2 linked regions of the Anolis sagrei genome follow. The protein of the gene in region 2 purifies or fractionates together with the protein of the main gene of each other region. This does not show direct contact. Links are inferred from orthologs where the notes say so. Each region holds a gene or a part of one and is shown on either strand. Other genes may lie near its edges.

What was found.
Region 1: the proteins of GLI2 (region 2) and SUFU purify together in Homo sapiens (affinity purification with mass spectrometry; 3 studies listed by BioGRID and IntAct, with this or other methods). This does not show direct contact. The link is inferred for Anolis sagrei from reciprocal best matches to the Homo sapiens genes GLI2 and SUFU.

The regions. Positions count from the first base shown.
Region 1 is NC_090023.1:215,058,246-215,065,581, reverse strand, and holds the start of SUFU (suppressor of fused homolog), read left to right. Parts: upstream 1-4,277; 5' UTR 4,278-4,448; coding exon 4,449-4,606; intron 4,607-7,336. UniProt on the Homo sapiens protein: Negative regulator in the hedgehog/smoothened signaling pathway. Down-regulates GLI1-mediated transactivation of target genes. Down-regulates GLI2-mediated transactivation of target genes. Part of a corepressor complex that acts on DNA-bound GLI1.
Region 2 is NC_090021.1:222,854,496-222,862,293, reverse strand, and holds the start of GLI2 (zinc finger protein GLI2), read left to right. Parts: upstream 1-4,732; 5' UTR 4,733-5,306; intron 5,307-7,798. UniProt on the Homo sapiens protein: Functions as a transcription regulator in the hedgehog (Hh) pathway. Functions as a transcriptional activator. May also function as transcriptional repressor. Requires STK36 for full transcriptional activator activity.

The DNA.
Region 1 (7,336 bases), on a different chromosome or scaffold from region 2:
CAACTCCTCTGTTGCACCAGCTCCACTGGCTGCCGATTTGCTACCGGGCTCAATTCAAAGTGCTGGCGTTGGCCTATAAAGCCCTAAACGGTTCGGGCCCAAGTTACCTATCCGAACGTATCTCTGCCTACAAACCCACCAGGACTCTAAGATCTTCTGGGGAGGCCCTGCTCTCGATCCCGCCTGCATCACAAGCACGGCTGGCGGGGACGAGGGACAGGGCCTTCTCTGTGGTGGCCCCTCGGCTGTGGAACGCTCTTCCCATGGACATTAGATCAGCTCCTACATTAATGGTGTTTCGAAGAAAACTAAAAACCTGGCTGTTTGAACAGGCATTCGGATAAACAGTGCAATGAATACGATGAATATAGGAACGGAATTATGGACGACGAATTGGATCATGATTCTAGCTACGAGATGTTAATGTGTTGTTATTGATGTGTCATCACTTTGTATACTATGCTGTTAATGGTTTTTAAATTGTATGTTGTTATGATTGTCTTTTGGCTCTTGTTGTGAACCGCGTTGAGTCGCCTACGGGCTGAGCAACTGCAGCATACAAGCAAAGTAAATAAATAAATAAATGTTTTTTTTTTCGTGTCAGGAGCAACCTGAGAAATTGCAAGTCGCTTCTGGTGTGAGAGAATTGGCCGTCTGCAAGGACGTTGCCCAGGGGACACCCGGATGATTTTGATGTTTTATCATCCTTGTGGGAGGCTTTTCTCATGTCCCCACATGAGGAGCTGACGCTGATATAGGGAGCTCATCCGCCTCTCCCCGGATTCGAACCTGCGACCTGTTGGTCTTTAGTCCTGGCAGCATTGCAAAGAAGTTATACAAAGACATTCCAGCCAATGCATGTTGGGCTTGACCGCTGATGGTTTATAACTTTAACTTTGTCTTTTCATTTGGAAAATAAAGTAATCTCTATGACCTTAACATTGTATTACACAACAGATGAAACATGTCTTTTCTAAAATATCTTCTGTCTTAGACTCTCATAAGCCATTGCAATGTGAAACAACTTGAAATCGCATTATTTGATCAGCTTAGACTTATATATAATGCAATGCCATGCAATGCAGCTTGAAATTGCATTATGTGTTCAGTGTGGATTCATATATAATGCAGTGCCATGGAATACAACTTGAAATGGCATTATATGGTCAGTGTAGATTCATATATAATGCAGTGCCATACAATGCAGCTTGAAATGGAATTATATAGTCAGCATAGACTCATATATAATGCAGTGCCATGCAATGCAGCTTGAAACAGAATTATATAGTCAGCGTAAACTCATATATAATGCAGTACCATATAATGCAGCTCGACAAGGCAGAGTGTGGACTCATATCTAAGCCAGTGCCATGTAATACAACTTGAAACAGCATTATATGGTCAGCATAGACTCATATATAATGCAATTCCATGCAATGTAGCTTGAAGCAGAATTATATGGTCAGTGTAGTCACATATAATGCAGAACGGCATTATATGAGTCTACCCTGATTGTATAATGCTGTTTCAAGTTGTATTATATGGCACTGGTCAATGTAGACTCATAATGCAGTGCCATGTAATACAACTTGAAATAACAGTATATGGTTGGTGTAGACTCATAATACAGTTTTGCAATATATGAGTCTACACTGAACATGTAATACTGATCAAGCTGCATTACATGGCAATGAAGATGGAGCCCTGAATGAATTTAATTGTTACAGTCACAGACCAAAAGTGTGAAACTTTAAAATTTTAAAAACAGTTTTTTTATTGTTAACACTAAGAACAAAAATTTACAACATTAAAAGTAGGAAGTCTGTGGGTAAAAAAATTAATAAAATAAAACTTTTTCTGCTAAAATAATCTGCTTCCTTATTTTTATAACTGCCGCACAAAACTTAGCCACGCTATAATGAGTGGTGGATCTCTATCCTCTAGGAGATGTTTTAGATAATAGTCTTTTAGAAAACAAGTCTAGAAAATCTCCTTCTCGGCTACAACATTTCTGAGTTGAATTCTGCCTTGGACATGGATCAGTGGCAATTAAGACCCTTTCTATGCAGCCATATAATCCAGATTATCAAAGCACATAATCCAGATTATCTGCTTTGAACTGGATTATATGTGTCTACACTGCCATGTAATGCAGTTCAAGGCAGATAACCTGGATTTTATATGGCAATGTAGAAGGGGCACTACTAGACTTAATGTTGGACACTACTAGAATTAATGTCAGGACAAACCTTTACCTTTACCTTTTATTTACTTATTTATTTCACATATTTGTATCCCGTCCTTCTCACCCCTGGAGGGGGACTCATGTCGGCTTCACAACCGGCATTTATTCAATGCCAACAACAGTAATAAGTGATAAAAGCAATTAAAACAGTTTGTTAATGCTTTAAATTTACTAAAAATTGTTTAAATCACACAGGTTGAAATCATAGTCCAGTTCAGTCCATTGTCATTCACACAAATTGGGACTCATTCTACATTGCTGCCTCTACGTGAATGAATTCCTATGCACACTGCACATATCTTATTTGTAGTACAAAAAAAATAATTAAAATGAAAAACAATTTTAATATAAACTTATTAGTATTTCAATGGGAAGTGTGGACCTGCTTTTGGTTGGTAAGATTGTTGTTGTTGTTGTTGTTGTCTGCTTTCAAGTCGTTTCAGACTTAGGTTGACCCTGAGCGAGGGCCAGGTAAATGACCTTGAAGGGCCGTATTCGGCCGTCGAGCCTTAGTTTGAGGACCCCTGATCTAGACACTATATTCCTATGGAGACATGCCAAAATCTCATTGGCTTTTTTTGCCCTCACATCACATTGTTGGCTCATAGAATCATACAGTTGGGAGAGACCTCATGGGCCACCCAGTCCAACCCCCTGACAAGCAGGTATATTGTATTCAAAGCACCCTTGACAGATGGCCATCCAGCCTCTGTTTAAAAGCTTCCAAAGAAGGAGCCTCCACCACAATCCGGGGCAGAGAGTTCCACTGCTGAACGGCTCTCACAGTCAGGAAGTGACTGTGTTCCTAATGTTCAGGTGGAATCTCCTTTCTTGTAGTTTGAAGCCAAGTCTCCAGGGCAGCAGAAAACAAGCCTGCTCCCTCCTCCCTATGGCTTTCCCTCACATATTTGCTGTCACATCAGCACTTTTAATCCTGTACCCATTACTCTGGCCCGGCCCAGTTTTATTGTGTCTTAGTGTCTTAGTTTATTGCTTGTTGTTTATATTGCTTTAATTGTTTTTAATTTGCCTTAGGTTTTGCATTGTTGCATTGTGTGTGGAGGCCTTGGCCTTGTAAGCCGCATCGAGTCCTTCAGGAGATGCTGTTGTTCATTCGTTCAGTCGTCTCCGACTCTTCGTGACCACATGGACCAGCCCACGACAGAGCTCCCTGTCGGCCGTCACCACCCCCAGCTCCTTCAAGGTCAGTCCAGTCACTTCAAGGATGCCATCCATCCATTTTGTCCTTGGTCGGCCCCTCTTCCTTTTTCCTTCCACTTTCCCCAGCATAATTGTCTTCTCTAGGCTTTGCTGTCTCCTCATGATGTGGCCAAAGTACTTCAACTTTGTCTCTAGAATCCTTCCCTCCAATGAGCAACCGGGCTTTATTTCCTGGAGGATTGACTGGCTGGATCTTCTCGCAGTCCAAGGCACTCTCAGCACTTTCCTCCAGCACCACAGCTCAAAAGCATCGATCTTCCTTCGCTCAGCCTTCCCTAAGGTCCAGCTCTCACATCCGTAGGTTACTACAGGGAAGACCATGGCTTTGACTAGGCGGAGATGCTAGCGGGGTACAAATAAAGTTTAATAATAATAATAATAATAACAATATTTATACATCACCATCATGTCTCCTCTCAGCCTTCTTTTCTTCAGGCTAAACATGCCCAGCTCTTCAAGCTGCTCCTCATAGGGCTTGTTCTCCAGACCCTTTCTCCTTTCTCATTTCATGTTTAACTTGTTGTCCACGAGGACTCCAAGATCTTTTTCACACGCACTGTTCTCGAGCCACGCGTCCCCCATTCTGTATCTTGACAGATATATCTTCATTTCTGCCAGGGATCTGCTGTATAATGGGAGTAATACAAAACAGAGATGGAGCCCTGCTTTCAGTGAACTAGTGAGGAAGGCATGCCTTGCAACGCCTCCCCACTGCCGCTAGGGGTCAGTCACGCAGAAAGGGTGTGTGGAAGAGGAAGGCGGGGCGCGTTGGATCCTCGGAGGACATTCGCCGCGTCGCGATTGGCGGAGCCGCTTGCCCATCAAAGGCGCGGGAGGCGGGAGGAAAGAAAGGGGGATGTCGATGGAGAGCGCGTCTCCTGCCTGGGGTCGCTGAGGGGAGTCTGGAGCCTCCGTTTGGGCCTCGGCTTCCGTGGAGGGGGCTGAGGCGGGCGTGCTTCCTCCCTCCTTCGCTCCTTCCCTCATGGAGACCTCAGCGACCGCCTCTGCCACCTCGGGCCCCACGCCGGGCCCTTTCCCCCCGCTCTTCCCGCCGGGGCTGCACGGGATCTATGGAGAGTGCCGGCGCCTCTACCCGGAGCAGCCCAACCCGCTGCAGGTCACCGCCATCCTCAAGTACTGGTGAGTCAGGCCTCGGGAAGGGGCAGACAAAGGCCCGAGGGGCCTCCACAGGCGCCCCCTTCGCTCAGGCTGCGTCTGGGCCAGCCTGGGCCCTCGAGGTGTTTTGGACTCCAACTCCCACCATTCCTAACAGCCTCAGGCCCTTTCCTTTCACCCCTCAGCCGCTTAAGCGGCAGAGGGGTGAAAGGAAGGGGCCTGAGGCTGTTAGGAATGGTGGGAGTTGGAGTCCAAAACACCTCAAGGGCCCAGGCTGGCCCATGCTTACTTTACACTATAGAATGAATGAGGTTTGACACCACTTGACCTGTATTTTCTGTTGGTCATGGAGGTTTCTGTATAGGAAGTTTGGCCCAATTCTATCCAGGTGAACTATAAATCCCAGCAACTACAACTCCCAAATGTCAAGCTCTATTCCCCCCAAACTCCACCAGTGTTCACATTTCACATATTGAGTATTCGTGCCAAGTTTGGTCCAGATCCATCATTGTTTGAGTCCAAAATACTCTCTGGATGGAGGTGATCTACAACTCCGAAACTCAAGTGTCCACCAAATCCTTCAAGTATTTTCTGTTGGTTGTGGGAGTTCTGTGTGCCAAGTTTGGTTCAATCCCTTCATTCAATTGGTTCAATTCCATCCTCTTCGATTGTAGTTTAACCACAAAGTGCTGGTTTTTACCTATAAAGCTCTTTATGGTTCTGGATCAGCTTAGTTGTCCGAACGCATCTGCCTCTACGTCCCACCTCGTAACTCATCCAGGGAGGCCCTGCTCTCCTTCCAGCCAACATCGCAAACATGGACAAGAGACAGGGCCTTCTCGGCTGTAGCCCCCTGCCTGTGGAACGCTCTTCCAAATGAAATAGGATCGACTCCATCCCTCCTGGCGTTCAGGAAAAAATTAAAATCTTGTTTTTGGGACTAGGCTTTCGGACAATAAACATAAAGCAGCACTTTGACTGGAAATGGATTGGTAAGGCCATATGTATGAGGATATGGTTTTATGGTTCTATCAGTGGGTTCATGGACTGAGTATTGTTTTAATGACTTATGATAATTTGGTTATAATTAACTGCTATTGTTTTAACTCTGTATGTATTTGTGGTTTTATACTGTGTTATTGATTGTGGCATCAAATTGCTGCCTTTGTTAGCTGCTCTGAGTCCCTCCCCCCCCCCCCCGGGGTTGAGAAAGGTGGGGTAAAAATGCAGTAAATAAATAAATAAAATAAACAAACTATAAGTCCTAGCAACAACAACTTGCAGGTGACATAATCAATGCCCCCCCTCCCCCAACCTCACCAGTATTCGAATTTGGGCATGCCAGGTATGAGTGCCAAATTTGATCCAGTGAATGTAAATACATCCTGCATATCGGATACTTACATTACGATTCATAACACTAGCAAAATTACAGTTATGAAAGTACCAACGAAAATAATTTCAGTCGTGGGATCACCGCAATATGAGGAACTGTATTAAGGGGTCGTGGTGTTAGGAAGGTTGAAAAACACTGGTGTAGATGCACACTTGGATTTCTAAAGTGACCAAAAGTTGTTTTCTATTTATGGGAGGGAGGATCTTTTGGAAAGCTCGAGGAAGTGCTTTGAATTCATGGCTGCTGGTGGTGTTTGATTGGGAGGGGGTTGTTTTGATGGAGACATTGAGGGGTTTGAGGATAGAGGGGTCAGCAAGAAAGCTTACATACTTATATTTCTTCTTACATATTGTTGTCCACATTGCTCCCCCCCCCCCCCGATGGTTAAACTGCTGAGCTGCTGAACTTGCAGACCGAAAGGTTGGTGGTTTGAATCCGAGGAGTGGGGTGAGCTCCCACTATTAGTCCCAGCTTCTGCCAACCTAACCGTTTGAAAACATGCAAATGTGAGTAGATCAATGGACTGCTTCTGCAGGAAGGTAACGACACTCCATGCAGTCATGTCAGCCACATGACCTAGGAGGTGTCAGTGGACAACGCCGGCTCTTCAACTGAGAAATTGAGATGAGCACCAATCCTCAGAGTTGGACACGACTGGACTTAATGTCAGGGGAAAACCTTTACCTTTGCATATTGTTGTCTGTATGTGGCATTTGAAGTGCTTCTGTGAGCTGCCCCAAGTCCCTTTGGGGAGATATTGGCAATTAGATTTTCTACTTTTATATTTTATACAGATTTTAGTTGCTGAATGTGTTTTTTAGGAGGCTTGATTGATAAGAAGTTTTAGTTAATGTTGTTTTATTTGTGTATTTTTAATCTGTTCATTTTAATTGGTTTGTCAGTTTGTTTTATCTTGTTACTGCACATTTATGTATTTATTTATTTACCATATTTATACCCTGCCCTTCTTAACCCAGAGGGGACTCAATGTGACTTACATATAGGCAACTATTAAGTGCCTTAGAGCAGCATACAATGAAAATAAAAATTTAAGATTGAAATTAATACACATTAAACAGGTAAAAACATTACATCCATTACGAAAACCACGCCATCCACAATTGTAATCTGGGACTATCCAGTAGTCTTTCTGTAAAGACTTTCTGTATATTTATGTCTTTATTTTGCATATTTCTATCCCATCCTTCTCACCCAGAAGGGGGGACTCAGGGTGGCTTGCAACAGGCAACCATTTCATGCCATCAAACAGATTCATAAATAACAATTGCAATTAAAACAGTAATTAAAATGTTAAATTATTAAAGCATTCATTGAAAATCACACACATTCAAATCCTA
Region 2 (7,798 bases):
GCCCTCACAATCAGGAAGTTCTTCCTAATGTTCAGGTGAACTGTCATTTCCTGTAGTTTGAAGCCATTGTTCCACGTCCTAGTCTCCAGGGCAGCAGAAAACAAGCTTGCTCCCTCCTCTCTATGACTTTCCTTCACATATTTATATGTGGCCCTCATCATGTCTCCTCTCAGCCTCCTCTTCTGCAGGCTAAACATGCCCAGCTCCTCATAGGGTTTGTTCTCCAGACCCTTGATCATTTTAGTCACCCTCTTCTGGACACATTCCAGTTTGTCAACATCTCACTTCGATTGTGGTGCCCAGAACTGGACACTTGTCTGTGGTATGTCCACACATTCAAATCAAAGCTCACTTTCTTGAGAACTATCTGGTCTAATAAGTTGTTAGCTATCTTTCCTCTTCCCTTAAGTAAATGGTAGTGAATTGGTTCATGTACGTATTTCCATGGAGTTGAAGTTTCTGGTGTGATGTGTTGGTTCGATTGAGACTGGTTCGATGAGTTTCTGACTCATGAGTCTCACAGCCTCCACTTTTTTTACAATTTATATTTTGGTGGCAAAACTTATACATCTATGCTTTTTCTGTTAGGGAAAACTACCCCAAAATAAGCAGAGCATCCAAAATACAAACAGGATACCAATAGTTGAGCATGAGCTCATAGTAGGCAGAGCATGAAGTGCCATTGGTTGTGGCTGTAAAGAATTCAGAGCTTAGGCAGGCAAAGATCTTAAAAATCTAATCTTAAAAATCACAAAAGGTTTATTTACAATAATAATAATAACTGCAATGCTTAATAATAAAGGACTGGGTCTGAGCGATGCTATACTCGTCTCTTCTAAAGTTTCAAAGAGAGGTAAAAAACAACAATCACTACATCTCTCCTGACATGCAGAGAGAGATATCTCAAAACACACAACATACACAGATGAAAAAGTAGAAATCCGTTTTTTAAGTCTTGCAGTAGAAAAGTATCCATTCTACACAACCAATCAGAATTAGAGCAGAAACAGAGAGAAGAGAAGAAATTAGATAAATTCCAACTGTCATACAGGAGACATGGGGAAAGGGAATCTTTCAGCCTATTCTAAGCTAAATTCTTGTTGAGGTCTGGAAACTTGAATTCCAACATGCCAAAATTACTAGACAAAACTCCTTCCCCATTTTCTTTCTATGTTGCTTTTCATACTTGCTCAGGAGGTATTTCTCAAGGCAGCCTGTTGCATGGAAGCACACAAGGCTAAATTAGAAGCATCTAAAGGAGGTTCCCCTTCTTTCCTAGTTCCAAATGTATTGTGGTGTTAATTGGAGACAAGCTGCATTCTCCAGCCCTTCTTCGCCATCATCCAAATAATAATGATGCAAACAAACCATTTAAATAAACTTCCACCTAAATAATAGACAGGAAAAGTGGGGAGGCTGGGTTGGGCTTCTGTAAAAAGACTGTTAAAAAGAGCTGCTGTGACAGAGGCTTTGTTAATGGAGGCATGTCAGTGTTGTTTCTCTCCAGGGCAAGTTTTTCTGCCCCTTCTAAACACTCTAATGGGGTGGAAAGTTGTTTTAGGTCCTACGCCCTTGCTTTGAGTCATGGGAGCTTGCAGTTTGGTCTCTTGGGGCTTGGAAACGTTCTCGTAGGCATCCTCCCTCACTAGCTGGGGACTTCTGGTGTGCGTCTACACCACATGTCTCAGACTCAAGACTCACAGGGCAAATTCGGCCTACCATGTCATTTTATGGAGTCCTCTGGATGCTGGACTACAACTCCTGTATTCCTCATCATTAGACGTCATGACTGGAACCAATGGGAGTTGTGATGCAGCAACATCTGGAAGGCTGCAGTTTGTTCTATTTAGTCAGGATAGTGATGTTTGAATTTAGATACAAGGCTTGTGGATAGGATGTCTGACTTTAAAATGTCATTCAATTTTTCCCCAACCTCAGAGCCACAAGTGTTGCTGAGTTGCAATTTCCATTACCCCCAATCTGCATGGGGGATAATCAAAAGTGATTGCAGTTGTCAATCGATAACATCTGGAGATCCAAACTGGGTAAAACCTGACCACTATATAAGTGAGGAGCCATGGTGGTGCAATGGGTTAAATCAGTGGTTCTCAACCTGTGGGTCTCCAGGTGTTTTGGCCTACAACTCCAAGAAATCCCAGCCCGTTTACCAGCTGTTAGGATTTCTGGGAGTTGAAGGCCAAAACACGCGGGGACTCACAGGTTGAGAACCACTGGGTTAAACCCCTGTGCCAGCAGGACTGCTGAAGGTCATCAGTTTGAATCTGTGGGACGGCGCTTCCTTCTGTCAGTTCCAGTTTCTATGCAGGGACATGAGAGAAGCCTCTCACAGGATGGTAACACATTCTTGCAGATGCCCAATTCTCTCACACCAGAAGTGACTTGCAGTTTCTCAAGTCGCTCCTGACATGATAAAAAAAAAACCCCAACTATATAAGAGCACTGGCCACTATGTAAAAAATAGTTTATTTTATTTTATTGTATTTTATTTACCCTATTTATATCTCACTTTTCTCTACCCCAAGGGGCACTCAAGGTGGCTTACATATGCCAATTATTCAATGCCTTAAACACATATAACATTAAGCTTGAAATCCATTGAATTAAAATTAATATATATAAAAATTTAAAAATTACATTCAGTATTAAAATCATGCCATCCAAAAATCGTAGTCTGAAGCTGTTCTATAGTCATAGCACATATTCCAGTTATATTATTGCACTGCTTCTATGAAGTTCTGGTCCCAGAGCCAGGTTTTCACTCTCCTTCTGAAGGCTAGGGGGGAGGGGGCTGATCTAATGGCACTGGGGAGGGAGTTCCACAACCGAGAGGCCACCACTGAGAAGACCCTCTCTCTTGTCCCCACCAGTCACACTTGAGAAGAAGGTGGGACCAAGAGCAGGGCCTCCCCATAAGATCTTAATCTCTGAGATGGTTCATAGGGGGAGATACATTTGTATAGGTAAATTGGGCCAGAACCATTTAGGGCAGTGGTTCCCATTTTTTTTGACCAGGGACCACTTGACCAGGGACTACTTTGACCAGGGAAAACTCTCTAGCATTAGTACCAAAAGGGTTACAAATCAGTTTTTGGTCAACTTTAGATTTAGTTTGGTTATTTGGGGTGTTGATTCAGAAAATTGCATTGGATAGATGACAACAGCTCTAGTTTCTGATACAGAACATATGCCATCCAGTAGTTGCCATCTGATGCCCACAGAAAACCATATTTAATAAGCCTCAGCATTATAAGACGGTTTTGCAAGACCAGTTGTTCTCATTGCAATGGTGGAGGCCGCAGATCATATTTTAGTTCTTGCGCACCACCAGTGGTCTACAGACCACAGGTTGGGAACCATTAGTTTAGGGCTTTAAATTGTGTTTGGCAGCCAGTGGAGCTGACTTAATAGGGGAGTTGTCCCTCTATATCCATGGATTCTCCATGGAATCAAGGCAATTTGTAGACAAACATAAGGCTGATGCGGCTCTCAGTGCAAATGAGTGTAGCATCCCTAGTCCTCACTGTAGGATAAGTGCAGTTGAAGTGCCAGGGAGTTCTGGGCATTTTTGCTTTACAGGGCCTGTAGCCTTCCTCAGCAAGTGTAGGTGCCTCACCACACCATGGATCCCAGGATTCCACAGCAAGGAGCCATGGGGCTCCAAGGGGTGTTATACTGCATCCATTCTAGAGAAGAGATGCACTTCTGGGGTCTTCTGGGACTCCAGGAGGGTGCAAATGGGGCGAGGGTCTGGGGAGGCCCAGTGGAGGACAGAGAGGGCCACGCTTCCCCGGGGCTTCTTCCTCCTCCTGCCCAGGTCTGTGATGCGAGGGCAGCCTCTCTGGCAGGAGCCTCCATTGTGCAAGACTGAAGACTGACAGGTCGGAGGACCGAACCTGGGGAGAGCACGGATGAGCTCCCTCTGTCAGCTCCAGCTCTCCATGCGGGGACATGAGAGAAGCCCCCCCAAAAGATGGTAAAACATCAAAAAATCCGGGCGTCCCCTGGGCAATGTCCTTGCAGACTGCCAATTCTCTCACACCAGAAGTGACTTTCAGTTTCTTACCCATGTGGGGACATATGAGAAGCCTCCCACAAGGATGGTAAAACATCATGGTGTCCCCTGGGCAACGTCCCTGCAGATGGCCATTTCTCTTACACCAGAAGTGACTTGCAATTTCTCAACCATGTGGGGACATGTAAGAAGCCTCTCACAAGGATAGTAAAACATCAAAATATCTGGGCATCCCCTGGGCAACATCCTTGCGGATGGCCAGTTCTCTCACCTCAGAAGTGACTTACAGTTTCCCAACCATGCGGTGACATAAGAGAAGCCTCCCACAAGGGTGGTAAAACATCAAAACATCTGGGCATCCCCTGAGCAACGTCCCTGCAGACGGCCAATTCTCTCATACCAGAAGTGACTTGCAGTTTCTCAACCATATGGGGACATGAGAGACGCCTCTACAAGGATAGTAAAACATCAAAACATCTGGGCATCCCCTGGGCAACGTGCTTGCAGACGGCCAATTCTCTTGCAGTTTCTCAAGTCGCTCCTGACACAAAAGTTGCTCCTGACACGGAAAAAAAAGCCTCTCTGGCAGGGGCTCCAGGGGCGGGGAGGAGGAGGAGGAGGAGGAGGAGGAGGAGGAGGAGGAGGAGGAGGAGGAGGAGGAGGAGGAGGAGGAGGAGGAGGAGGAGGCGGGGAAGAGGAGCAAGACAGAGCAGGCAATGGGTTTGAGCTCCGGAGATCATCTGACTTGAAAGCCCCAAAGTGCGGAAGAGAGAGAGAAAGAAAGAAAGAAGGAGAAGCGAGGGGGAGAAAAGTTTGGTCCCCGCTCGGTCTCTCCCGCTCCCCGATCCCAAGAGGGGGGCGTGTTTCTGAAACTTTCTTCCCTCGCTCTCTCTTCCCTTCCCTTCCTCTCCCCTTCCCTTCCCTTGCCCTCCCTTCTCCGCCTGCCCGCCTCCCTCCGCCTCGCCGCGCGTGCGGCTGTCCTGCCCAGGAAGATGATGGATGGCAGGAGGGCAGCCGCGCGCCAGCAGAGCAGCAAGGAGAGCAGCAGCAGCAGGAGGAGGAGGAGGCAGCAGCAGCAGCAGCGGCGGCGCCCCAGACTTTGCTAAAGTCCCCTCGCTGCGTCCCGGACGGGCCTGGCAGCGCCTCCATCCCGGGAAGGAGGGCTTTGGAGAGAAAAAGAGGGGCGGGAAGCGAGCGGGAAGCAGCGGGCGATGGGGAGCCGCACGCCTGGCCCTGCCCGGGAGACGCTGCCCGCCTGAAAACTTCTCTTCGGGTAAAGTTGTGCCTCCCTTTCCCCCCTCCCCCGGTTCCTTCCTTCTTCTTCCCTCCTTTCTCAATCCCCTTCCTCCTTCTCTCCCAGCCTCTTCCCCGCTTTCAAGCCTCTTCTTCCTCACTTTCCGAGTCCCTTCTTCCTCCCTCTATCAACTCATCACACTAGAGAATGAATCCGCTTTAAATCCGGTTTCTGCCTCCTGCAAAATTCGGAGGTTTGTAGTTTAGGGAGGCTGTTAACGACTCCTTCTTAAACTACAAACCCCAGAATTCTGCAGGAGGCAGAAACTGGATTTTAAGTGGATTTTTCCTCTCTTGTGATGAGGCCCATCATCATCATCATACAGTTTGGAACCAGTTTGAGAGGAAGTTTCACTACATAGAATGAATCCACTTTAAAGGGGGTTTCTGCCTCCTGCAGAATTCTGGGGTTTGTTGTTCTGTGAGCCTGTGAAAAGCTCCTCCCTAAACTACAAGCCCCGGAATTCCGCAGAAGGCTGAAACCCCATTTGAAGTGGATTCATTCTCTGGTGTGAGGAGGTCTTAGGGCATGTGATCCCAGGACTCAGTGTGACGAGGTCTCCTCCCTTTCCCTTCCCGCGGGTGCTTCGGGCTTCCCCTTGAGGCGCCTGGGAAGCCACCCCCTTTCTTTAAATAGCGGCGGCGGGGGGGGGGGGGGCTTTTTCCCGCCTGCCTCGTTTCCCCCTTCGCGGGTGTCTTAAGGAGAAAAGTTGGAGAGCTGCGTCCCGCGTCAAGACCAAGAGCCCTCTTGCCTCTCTCTCTTGGGGAAAGTTGGGGAGAACTTTTCCAACTCGGGGAGCAGGTTGCTACTCGGGGTCCGGTTGGGCTTTGGGTCGGGACGAGCCACGCGGCTCCCCCGTTCCTCTGTGCTTGGCAAACTCCGCCTTGGAGCGGGTGCCTCCTCCTCCTCCTCCTCCTCCTCCTTCCCTTTGGTGGTGGTTGTGGTCCATTGGGCCTCGAGCGGCTCCCTTGCCTCTCTTTGCTTGTTTCCTCCAGAATCGGAGGCGAGGAGAAGGAGGAGGAATCCAGCCTGATTCCCCCCCCCCCCCTTCCCGGCTGAAACCAGTGGGACGCCTTTCGGATCGCGCCTGTGGCGACCGGGTCTGCTGCTGAGTCGGACCAGTGTGTTGAGGCAACGCAGAAGAGTCTCCTTCCTTCGGAGTGAGGGGCTTCAGACCCTCCTGGAGGGAAGTGGCCTGGAAGTTTGGTGTTTGTTTGGGAGGCTGATTCATCTCGTCGGCTTGGGCGGCGTTTTCGCCTCTCCAAAATCTTCCCTACCCCCCCCCCCCCCTTTTTTTTCTCCTTGCGATCTTTCGTCAAGTCTGTTTGCGAAGGAATTTCAAAAATCCGCCGCTGCAACTTGATGCCGGTGTGATGGGGAGAGACACGGAGGGAGCCGGGCGCCAGGCCTATTAAGGGTCGGGAGGGCCAGGGGCTTCCTTCCACTCCTCTTCCCAAGCCAAAGGTTTGGAAACATTTGCAACTCGAAAGGGGGGGGGGGTTTACCAGATCTCCCCCTCCACCATACCTCTTGCCTCCAAACGCTCTCCCCATCCTTGGTTGAACCTCAGTCTCCCTGCAAAAGGGTTGGTTTGTTTTCACCCTGCTCTGTTCTACAGATGTTGATGTTGCTGTTATCCATGCCTGTTGTGCTCTGCAGAGTTCCTCAAAGTTTGAAACTGAAGTTGCAAAGCGCCCCCTTCTTCCTAGCAAGTCTTTGCCATGCCCCCAAAGATTAAATAAAAATACAAGGAAAATACAGAAGTATATGTTTAATTCAGTAGGGGTTTAGGTATGTATTCAAGCCCCCAGTGGCACAGTGGGTTAAACTGCTGAGCTGCTCAACTTGCTGAATGAAAAGTTGGCAGTTTGGATCTGTGGAGCAGGGTGAGCTCCTGCTGTTAGGCCCAGCTTCTGCCAACTGAGCAGTTCAAAAACATGCAAATATGAGTAGATCAGTAGGTACCGCTCAGTAACAACGCTCCATGCAATCATGCTGGCCACATGACCTAGGAGGCGTCTATGGACAATGCCAGCTCATCAGCTTAGAAATGGAGATGAGTTATGCAACCCAGAGTCAGACTCAAATACACTTGATGTCAAGGGGAAATGTTTACCTTTACGATATGTTTCATTCAGTAGGGTGTTAAGGACCTGCAGGGATCTTGTTCCTCATACTCTGTGACAATGTTTCTAATGTGAGGGAATTGGCAATTAATTTTTTCCCAAAGTGCAAGCAACCAGCATTCATTTTTTCTAGCAACACACCCCTTCAGAGCTATGTATGCAGGTGCACTACAGAGGTAAAGGTCTCACTCAGTAAGGAATCTGATTGTGCTTCTGATGTGAGTGGACTGGTAATTATTTTCCCCCAAAGTGCTAGGGACCAGCATGAAATCTGTGCCCATTGGTTTTCTGGAAACTTTCTTTCCTGGAAACTTTCCAGAGATGGGCAGCCAATGGGACGGGGAC